2 linked regions of the Caenorhabditis elegans genome follow. The protein of the gene in region 1 interacts with the protein of each later gene in a biochemical or structural test. Each region holds a gene or a part of one and is shown in the gene's direction. Other genes may lie near its edges.

Region 1 (6,688 bases):
TTTGAAAAGTGCCGCCAGGGTCCTATTGATTTCTTACCAAAGTAAGTTCTTTTACAAAAATTAATTTCTCTGTAATTAAAATGTTTTATTTCAGACCAGAAAAGTTGAAAGGAAATGAAATGGTTATCTGGCAGCCGCGAATTCTGGTTTCACCAAAGAACGACTTCAATATGGCTGGTCGAATACAAGAGATTGACGACGAGGAGGAAGATCGAGTTAACGAAGAGATCAAGACTCGTATCATTGAGAATGAAGGCATGATCGATGAAGACACGCGCAACGAAACAACGGGAATCGTTGAACTGGGCACCGGCTCGGATCACAGCGATATTGGATCTTCGTGGAGCTCTCCAATGGCTTCGCCAACTGGTTCTTCTCAAATTGTGGAACTCGATCCTGATTCTCCGAACAGTTTGACAAACGGAAGTGTGACTGATGAAGAAATGATGGAGTTCGAATGATCTCACTGTATATTATTCACGGGTTATTATTCGAAAACAATGTAATGTAATGTATAGAATTTAATTTAACCGTTGATTTGTTCTTGTTTGTTTCTTATTTACGTCTTTCAATATGTTCTACTGGTCAATATTTGAATAAACTAAATAAATTTAAACACCTTCACATTACTACTCTTCGATGGTCGAATCTGCGTTTCCATCACAAGTGTCAATCACTTTATTTCTATGAACCTCTCTCACACTTTGTAGTAAACAGATATTTCGAAATACTGATTGCTAGGTCTTATGAAAAGTAAAACTTTTCCAGTCTGCGTCTATGCGGTACTCAGCAGTTTGCTTAAAGAATTCTCTATTTTTCCATTCTCCATATCAATTCGAACTTTTTCATCTTCCAAAAGTAGGGTTTGTATAGTCAGAAATATGTGATTCACTCTATTAATAAGGGTGTGGCCTTTATATAAAATTATCTCTGTTACTTTTATATGTTTAAAATTTTTCGAACAATTCCGGGGGACTTGTCGAAAAAGTTCCTCAGAAAATTTATAAATGGAACACTAAACGAAAATCGTTGTTTACGAAAAAAAAATCAATGATCGTCTTTCTTGCTCATGCCATTTCTTATCATAAGAAAACTTATCGTCCTAGGACAAGACTGTGATAATTGTAATTTCATACTTTTATATGTTTTACTAAATAATTAGCTTAAAGTTTGAATTATTTGATCTTAAGAACTCTCTTTTTTTCAAAAATACTGTACCCGGTCTCGGCGCGACAATTTTTTTAATTCGAAGAGGTGTGTGCCTTTAAATAATGTCGTTTCAAACTCTTTTTTCTGAGGAATTTTCAGCGATTTTTTAATATACAGTTTTTTTTAACGATTTAATCAAATTTATACATAATTTTTCTATATTGAAAAACTTTGAAAATTGGCTCACACCTTTTCGAATTTAACAAAAATGTATCGTTTGAATTTTTGGCGTAATATTTACATATCATCAGTATTAGAAACCGACGTATATTTCATAAAATATTTTTTAACATTAATTATCTGTATCATTTTCAGAATGGCGGTATCTCCTCATAAAACCTATCCAATCGTCATTACACACGGCGAAAAGTACACGCTTTTCAATGATGAATCAATTGGAAAAGGAGCATACTCAGAAGTCTACAGAGGTCGAACCGAATCTGGAAGACTTGTTGCTGTGAAAACGGCTTGCAAGAAGTTGGAAGTTGCTGCGATAGGCATAGAAATCGAAATTCTAAAAAAGTTGAAAGGCGCTTCGAATATTGTACAATATTTTGGTAGTAACCACACAAAAATGGCACCTGGATCAGTTACATCTGAGACGATTTCCTTTGCGATGGAATATGCAAGTAGCAGTTTGGAAGCGGAAATGAGAAGGCCAAAGAATCACAGAGGACTTTCATCAAATGCACTTATTGACTTAGTTGTAGATTGTTGTAAGTTTGAAATTTATTTATTCTACAGTAATACACGTTTATATTTTTCAGCTATGGCACTATCTGCTCTTCGAGAGCACAATATTGCTCATCGCGACATAAAACACATGAATATCCTTCTATTTCCCGGTACTCCGACACGTGGAAGACGATCCACACATTTATTCAAACTTTGTGATATGGGTTGTAGCAAGTCTCTTTCGGAAAATAGTTCACATGAAATGAGAACTTTAGTCGGAACTCCTAATTTACTGGTAAGCTGTTACTAGGCGTAAAAATTTTAGACCAGGAATTTTTGAAATAATCAAAAACGTCAGCTAAGATGATAAAACACATTCAATTTCAGCACCCCTTCCTGGCACACGAGATGGTCGATCCACTGATGGCTCAAAACAGACATAATTGGAAAACAAAATCAGCTTATACTTCGGAACAATGTGATCTATGGGCTCTGGGATGTACACTATATTTTTGTGCCACTGGAAAGTTCCCATTCGAGCACGAAAGGAATAACAAGAGCCTGTATCATAAAGCTGTAGTGGCTCTTACTCAGAATCCGGATGCAATCGCAATGGTTTTAGTGCAAAAAGGACGAGATCCAGGAAGAAGAACTGATATATTTGAATTCCAACCAGTTACAGAACTTCCTGCTAAATTCACAAGATATCCGAAATGGCTCGTAAGCACAATGACATGCCTTCTACGCAGCTTTTTCCATGAACCTTCAATCGAGTATTATGCAAAAGTGGCTGATGCTATGAGAAATTCTAAACGAAGAACATTTTCATCAGTGGATCAAATGTCGATTGTTGAGCACACGGATATGTCTAATGTTCCACATCTTGGATTCAGTATTCCAAGTATTTCAAAATGTCTTGGATATCCAGAAGGAACCGATATACTTCTTCTCTCAAATACCTCCACCCACTACCTTGATTCCAAACAAAAATCCGTTGACGGACTTCCCGATGATTTGTATTTGGTCGTTCCCCAGACAAGTCACGTTGATATGAGAAAGATTTTGGCGAGAAATATCGAATTCCACGAATTCGATGATATGACAGACAGAAAACTTTCTGAAATTCGAATCAAAAAATGTTATGAAGGATTGAGCATGCTAACTGAAATTGACGAGTATTTGGCTCTTTTTGATCGAGTCTCCACAATTTTGTCAACCCAATTTTCACTGGTGAGTTTTGCATTATGATTTAGACGCGAAATTTTGCAATTTTTGCGGTAAAAAAAATGGTACCAGGTCTCGACACGACAATTTTTTGTTAAATGCAAAACGGTGCGAACCTTCAAAGAATACTGTAATTTTTATAAATTTTCCCCAGTTTTTTCGTTACAAAAAAAAATCATTTATTTAATACGCTTGAATGAAACTATTAAAATCGATCTAAAAAATTTCGTAGCAGAAGATTGAGAGTACAGTACTGTTTAAAGGCACTCACCTTTTCGAATTTAACAAAAATTGCCGCGTGGAGACCAGTTACCGTATTCCTTGCGCTAAAATTTCAAAATTATCCGAGTAACAACTCAGTAGTTCTGAAAATGTTATAACTTTCGATTTTAGATTATAATTTCGTAAATCACATTTGAAATTCCAAACAGTCCCAAAAAAAACCAAAACATGTTTTTTTCAGCTTGTGCAAGAGTTGAGTCAATTCGAGCGTGTTCAAACTGCATCACGTTTTGCTGTTTATGTGGACATGGCTTCAGTACCACTGATGTTGTTCGATGAAGCGAATCCAGAGACCAAAATGATCTCAGATCAATGCATTCAACAAGCGAAACGAGCTAGAGAGGAATTAGAGAGACATGCAAAAGTTTCTATGGATATTGAAGCATGTGCAAAGCAATTGTCAAAAGATGCTGAAGATCTTCGACTTGAAGACATGGATCTACCAGGAATTTGTGAAGAAATCGAATCCTACGTCTTCTATGACAAACAAGCCATCTTGAGCACTCAGAAATATTCCCAAGAATTAGTTGAGTTGTGCCTGAAAAGAAGAAACAATATTATGGAGCAGATCTTCAACTCGCCTGACAGAATAAATAAAAGTAAATTGAATAAGGCAATGAATTTGGCAGCATCGCTCAGCCAACTACGTTCGAATTATCGAAAACTTCAAGATATGATATCCGAATGTGTAGATCTACTCGAGAAGCCATTCCAAGAAATGAAAGATACTGTAAATCGTTATCTACAAGCCCAAGGATGTTCTCGGAATACGATGCAAAAGTCTATGCATTTGTTAAGACCCGAATTCCACGAGAGTCAAATTCGCATAAAGAAGACCACCAAATCGTGTAGGAAACTCATCGACCAACTAAACATAGAATTGGATCAACTCGGATTTGTTCGCTTAGGAGATATATTGATCAAAGCCGAATCGGAGCAGACACTTACAAGATCAGAAGAGATTCAAGAGACGCAGGTTGTAAGTGTGAGTATTTTATTGGGGTTATCAAAATAATCCTTTCGTTGCTCTAATATAATCGGCTTTTGATTAAACGTTTCATAATTTTCAATTAAATTTTATTAGTTTTTTTGCCAGGCGGAATCATCACCGAACAAAGAACAATTCCCTAAACCGGAGCAGGATTCCATTTTGTATGTCTCCTTTTTCTCATCAGACACTGCTTTTCCCAAATTAGTTCTGTATTTTTATGTCATACTAGTCTCCTACTTGCATAGATTAAAGTTTAGATGTAGTATGAGAGAGCAAGAGAGAGAGTGATCCCTGATTTTTTAGAACTAAAAAAATGGAGAGAATCTTCAAAAAGAAACGCAGAGAGAACGGAAACGAAGGAGGCGACAACGACGTTTGTCGGATTTGTTGCGAGAATGAAAGACAAGAGAAACGAGAAAAGAAAAGGAAATCTTCTGGCAGAAGACACTGATTTTCTAGACTTCCTCTTACTTTTTAACACTGCTCTCCATATTACAAGCCTTTCACATGTTTAGGTATACGTTTAAATGAGAAGTGGCCGATCAAAATTGTTTTGCGAATTTCAGAACGAAACATTTCAAAAATGAGTTCAAAACCTTCTTCTGGCGGTTCAAAATTTCGAAATTTCGATTTCGACAAAATGTCGACAAAAATAATTAATTTTTTAACTAAAATTTCCCCAATTTGCCAACTTTTACGCGCCATAACGGCCTGTAGTTTAATTTTATGTAATTATTGTCCCATTATGACATTTTTGTCAGTTATCTATAGTAATTTAGTTAATTTAGGTACAGAAAAAATGGCCAAAAAAAAGAAAATAAATAAAGTGATAATCAAATAAAAATCTGTTTCCGGCCGCTTTGATATGTCGATGTTTGAAAAATTGGAAATGTTAGTTAAAAATTCGGTTTCCTTTTCTGTAAATTTTGAACCGCCATAAAAAATTTTGGACAAATTTTTGAAAACGTCCGTTTCGAAATTCGGTCTTCTGGGTCATTTTGAATATAATAAAACAAAAATTGATCAGTTACTTTTCTGTTAGCTCTTAAGATGTAGCTAGATCGCATTCAATGAGAGTTACCCCTAATTTTTTGAGTTTTGAAGGTATGAAAATGGAATTCAATAGACTTATAATTTTTCAAAGTATTCACCATTTTTGGTGAATGAAAAAAAAATCACGTTAACTTTTAGATATTAAAAATTCAATTTCTCCAGTTCAAAAACATCTTGTATAAATCTATGTTTTTGTAGAGAGTCATCAATTGATGAAGGCTCAACTTCATTCGAATCAACACCACCATCGTCCCCTCCTGACGTTGGGTCTAACAACTATTTCCAAGTAAGCTTTTATTTCTCTTTTCTTTTCTCTTTTCTTTCTTCACTTTAATGCATCTCCTCTCCTTGTGCTCTACCTACATTTTGCAGGCCGTCTTTCAGTACTTTGCCAAGCCGACGTCTTCCCCTTCTTCTTCTGCGAAATAATTTCCTGTAAATACTCGTCCCGGTTTTTTTCCTGTTTTTCAATCAAACCTTCCAACCCTGTGCTATTGACGCCCGGAAATTTGAATTCCTTCAATCATTTTTTTTCTTACTTTTTCTCACCCCTCCACTCACACTCATTTACCCACATTGTTGTATCATCTTTTCAGTCTCTCCAAGTTGATTGCGAACACTTGTTTATATTTCCATCTAGTCTGTGTTATCTCGTTTTATATGTTCTCTATAACAGACGTGTATATAATGAATTACGAGGATTATCGCACCCTTCCTCTCACTGAATTGAAGCCATTTTTGTCTATCTTTTTTCGTTTTTTTAGAGAGGAATTGCCATCTTTTGATTTCTTTTTTTCGAAATAATTTTTGGTGCCAGTACATTGTTTTATTAATTTTTATTTCAGATTTCTATGGATCATTTTATCAAATTGTTGCCAAAATTGACACCGCATTTGAGAAAGGTTAGTTAAAGAAATAAAAAAAGAAGAATTTAATTAGGGATAGTAAAAAAGAGAAAAAAAAGTTGCAGTCCTGTAGTAAACAACAACTTTTTTGTGGCTCAATAAAAAAGTTTATGGATAGAACTTTTTTTTTCCTTTTTCGAAAATTAGGAAAACAACACTGAAAAGTAGAGTAGATAGAAAAGTTCAAATAGTCTGTAATCATCAAAATATGTATATTATCTAACTCAAAAAAATAACACTTAAAATAAAATAAAACTCACCTTCTCAAAACTAAAAAAAATAATTTAAAAACAATAAAAATTACAAAAACTGCTTGAAATTTGGCAAAATCGGTGAAAATAATTGAAAA
Region 2 (4,087 bases), on another chromosome or scaffold:
CAACACTTTTTCCTTTACTTATCTCATACTATTCAGGAGGCGGTGGCGGATGCGGATGTGGAAGTTCCTGTGGTGGATGTAACATGGGATGCTCCTGCCTACCACCTCCCCCTTCTCCAGTATGTATGCCACCTCCACCTCCACCGTGCCCGATGCCAATCCCGTGTCCACCTCCTCCGCCTGCCTGCTCGTGCCCGCCACCGGTAACCATGTATCAGGTAATTTTACTGTAAAATTTGCCTAATTTCATTGTTGTTATATCTTTTCAGCCCTGTATGGTTCCTCAATACGTTCCTCGATGCAGTGGTGGATGCGGAGGGTGTGGTGGTGGATACGGTGGCGGTTACGGTGGTGGGTGTGGTCGAAGAAGACGTGCGATCAACAATCAGACGATACATTGATATGTACAATGGTTTTTGCTTATATAACATCTTTTCTTTCAGTCATAACACAAATAGTACAAAAATAAAATGTTAAACATTCAAAAGTTACAGAATGAAGTTCCTAGAATCTAGTACGACGTGGATTCTGTAATAATTTTCAAATAAAATGCTTATAACGAGTGTTCTGTAAAATATGAGCCTTGTGGATTCTGAGGTCCTGAAACGACAAATAAAATGTTGAACTGGGGCTTGCGCTTTCAAAGAGGAATGCAGCTGTATATGTAGTTAATGGTGGTCTATTTCAATATTTTGCACAGTGTTTCACAAGTTTAAAAAATGCGTACCTAAAGACGCACCGAGATTTGGATCTCGCCTCAAGACAAAGTTTATGTTTTTTTTTTCCAATTTACCGGGAATCATAATAAATATTTTCTCGTGACGAATTTCAATCCGCATTGAAGTTTCAGAAAACTGCGACATTAGTCATCAATATTTAGTGTACCCTTTAAAATCTCAGCTACAATAAATTCTTCATTTTTCGGAATCGATTGGAAAAGGGTATTTAGAATTTCAGAAATCTTTTTTTTAAAGCTATATTTAAAAAAAAAAAATAAAAATTCCTAACCAATTATTGATATTAATGGAGAAAAACGCACCGAAAACGGTCAAATTTGAAAAACCGCGAAAAACGAATTTTGTCTGCCTGCCTGCGTCTCTTCAATTCCTCCAGTGTCTCGTCTTCCTCAAAACAACCAGACGAGAGCGCTCATTTCGCCATTTTTTGTGTTACAGGCTGCATTTCTTCCTATTCCTTATTTTTGCTTCATTTTTTCGTTTTTTCAAGTCAAATTGATTGACAGAATTTACAATTGTAGAAATGAAAATTGAATTTTTAACGAAACGCCGACACAAATCTGAAAATTTGTTGGAAAATGTTATAATTTCTTCGCTTCTTCTGAACGCATGATTTCCCAACAATTTTAATTGCATTCCTATCCATCTATTAGCAATATAGTTTTTTCTTAACAAGTCGACTCTGGAAAATATCAAAAAATTCCTAACGACCTTCAAAAACGACATTTCCCACTGGTCACTGCGACCCGCATCAGCTGTTTTCCAATTCGAACATTTTATGCCTGCGTCTCCAAGAGCTGCTGATTCATTCTCTGGCAAACACATGATTCCTCGAGTCGTTTTTACACTGAGACGTAGAAGACAGACGACCTAGAATGTTTCGAAATCACACTCTAACTCTCTCAATGATTTTACTCTCCTTTATATATTGCTAGCAGTAACCAGTGCTTAGTGTTTGCATTCTCGATCATACGACCTCACTCTTCTCATATATTTTTCTCATTTTTCAACTCGAGATTTTGTTATTATCACTCACTAAGTAATATTTTTCAGAGAATGAACGATCCGCTTGACTCCCTCTCGAATGACGAATTCGAGATAATCGAGACTTTTGACCGTAAGTTTTTATTTTATTTTAAAAAAAGGACCTAAAAATTCAAGCTCCCAAGCTAACCCAATGAGAAAATATAACTTTTGTCTAGAAATAAATTGTTTGCATCATGATTTCGAAATTTCTTCGCATTTTTTGAAATTATGGGTCAACTTTCTGAAATCGATTTATTTGTTATTTCACAATCGAGGATTTTTAAAAATTCAAAAAAAAATTCCAGCTGAAACAGAAGATCGTGAGGATCAATGGAGTATTCAGCAGAGTATCCGAATCGAGCCAATTTCAATCCAGATGCCGAATACACTTCAATCACAGCGCGCTCCATCTCCTGTCGGATCGAAGGCCCCGGAGTCGTTGAAAGACGAAGATCCAGATCGTACACCTGAAGCATCAATCGTTGAAACACCGCTCCTTACCGAAACTTTGAAGGAAGATCGTACTCCAATGTCAACTCCTCTCGCGTCTCTTGTCAATTCGAGTCAATCTCCTGAATTCACTCTTCAGAATATGTCTATTGTGTCCGAGTCTGAATGTTCCAGTTAGTTTTAAACCAAAACTTATCATAAATTATTTATTTGACCAAGTAAATTCCAGATAATTCCTCTCTTGTGAACGTGGCGGACGTTGAATCAACAGAAATCGCTTTGAGAACATCACTTCTTCTTGTGAGCGAGCTGAAATCTCAACTTCAAGCTGCAAAAATGTCTGAATCCACTCTTCTGAAATCAAATTCAAACCATGAAATTGAAGAAAACAAGAAACTATCTGAGAAAATGGAAGTTATGAAGAACGAGTTCGAATTGAAGATGCAAGAATCAGCTGCTAGCGTAGAGAAAGTTATCCAGGAGAAAGACTCGGCTATCGAGCAGCTCAAAGTGCAATTGGCTCAGAGCCAACAGGTGGCCGAGCTGTGGAAGCAGGGAGCCGAGAAAAACAGCAACGCTCAGTACAGTGACTCGAAGACTACTATTGATAGACTTTTGGAGGAGAACTCGAAATTGAGAAATCTGGTTGATGAAGAGGTTGCTCGCCGGCTCGAAGAATCTGAGCGTCGCAAGCTGGCGGAGGATCAGTTGAAACATGCAAGAGGAGGCTCTGTCTTTGATCCACCAGCCTCTTTTGTTGCATCGCAGTTGGCGGAAAGAACCACATATTCATTGAATCTGGAACATGAGCTTATCACTCTGAGAAAAGAATTGGAGGAAACTAAAGAAGCACTGAAGAAATCTGTAGAAGAGTCGAGCAACAAGGATGAGATAGTTAGTGCTCTGCATGAGGTGCGGTTTTGATAACTTTTTTTTAAATTAGTTAACCATAGAAACCGTTCAAGCGGTCATTGCTATCTTAAATTTTTAATTTAGTGCTAAAACAACGTTGTTTTTCAACGACAAACATAAGATTTCATTTAACAATTTTTTGCAAAAAATACCAGCTTGCAGGACCAACAGGAGAGCACCCGCATGCTCGCTTCGAACGAGCAGGTGATCAACAGTCTGAAGCAGAAATGTCGTCAACTTGGAGTGCTGGAAGACTTCTCGAGCTAAGCCGTCAAATTGTTCATTTTATCTCCCACCAATAATTCTCATTTATCACGCCACATTGTGTACATTCAATACTTTTAAATTCTTGTTTTCATGATTTGTTCTATTTTGTATATTATCTTGCAAAACCCGTGTCAATAAAAATTATGATGTAGAAAAAATTCTAATCATTTCTCAGCAATTACTCGAATTTAGTCGGTAGTTTATTGGTAAATTGAAATGAAAAAAATAATTTAATAATTGCAGGTTTTTGTAAAAGATGTACTCTTTGCTCACACGACGGGTTATAGTATTAGGAAATGGTGAGTGAAAACAATAACGATACAAACGTACATATATTCAAGATCTAACGATTCGAGAAAATTCATAATGAAATTTAACTGAGAGATAATCGATCTATTTTTGCGCCAAAAATACGGTACTCTGTATCGACACGACATTTTTTTGTTAAAAGCAAACGGGGGTGCACCTTTAAAGTGTACTGTAATTTCAAACTTCCGATGCTGTGGAATTTTTTAATTTTAATCGATTTTTCAGAGTTGTTATTGCGACTTGTTATATTGTATGTATTGTTAATTGTTTAGTTTTAGTTTTTTTTTCAAATAAATAAATGCATTTTGAACGAAACAATTCGGAGAAATTTTCGCACCAACAAAAGTTTTATAAATACAGTACTCTTTAAAGGCGCGCACAATTTT

What was found.
Region 2: of the proteins of ikke-1 (region 1) and allo-1, one has a biochemical effect on the other in vitro, tested with the Caenorhabditis elegans proteins (one study listed by BioGRID).

What each region holds. Positions count from the first base shown.
Region 1 is NC_003281.10:9,045,530-9,052,217, reverse strand, and holds ikke-1 (Inhibitor of nuclear factor kappa-B kinase epsilon subunit homolog 1), read left to right. Parts: upstream 1-1,524; 5' UTR 1,525-1,525; coding exon 1,526-1,925; intron 1,926-1,976; coding exon 1,977-2,179; intron 2,180-2,271; coding exon 2,272-3,114; intron 3,115-3,571; coding exon 3,572-4,375; intron 4,376-4,474; coding exon 4,475-4,542; intron 4,543-4,684; coding exon of another isoform or gene 4,685-4,832; exon of another isoform or gene 4,833-4,896; intron 4,897-5,632; coding exon 5,633-5,720; intron 5,721-5,806; coding exon 5,807-5,863; 3' UTR 5,864-6,163; downstream 6,164-6,688. Other genes in the region: R107.5 (uncharacterized protein), read left to right, coding at 1-41, 95-461; R107.2 (ATP-dependent (S)-NAD(P)H-hydrate dehydratase), read left to right, coding at 6,286-6,336. UniProt on the Caenorhabditis elegans protein: Serine/threonine-protein kinase, which plays a role in regulating allophagy, an autophagic process in which paternal organelles, including mitochondria and membranous organelles, are degraded in embryos.
Region 2 is NC_003282.8:10,694,775-10,698,861, reverse strand, and holds allo-1 (Allophagy receptor allo-1), read left to right. Parts: upstream 1-1,789; 5' UTR 1,790-1,793; coding exon 1,794-1,854; intron 1,855-2,068; coding exon 2,069-2,386; intron 2,387-2,442; coding exon 2,443-3,125; intron 3,126-3,280; coding exon 3,281-3,427; 3' UTR 3,428-3,556; downstream 3,557-4,087. Other genes in the region: R102.11 (uncharacterized protein), read left to right, coding at 37-218, 270-401. UniProt on the Caenorhabditis elegans protein: Autophagy receptor, which is required for allophagy, an autophagic process in which paternal organelles, including mitochondria and membranous organelles, are degraded in early embryos.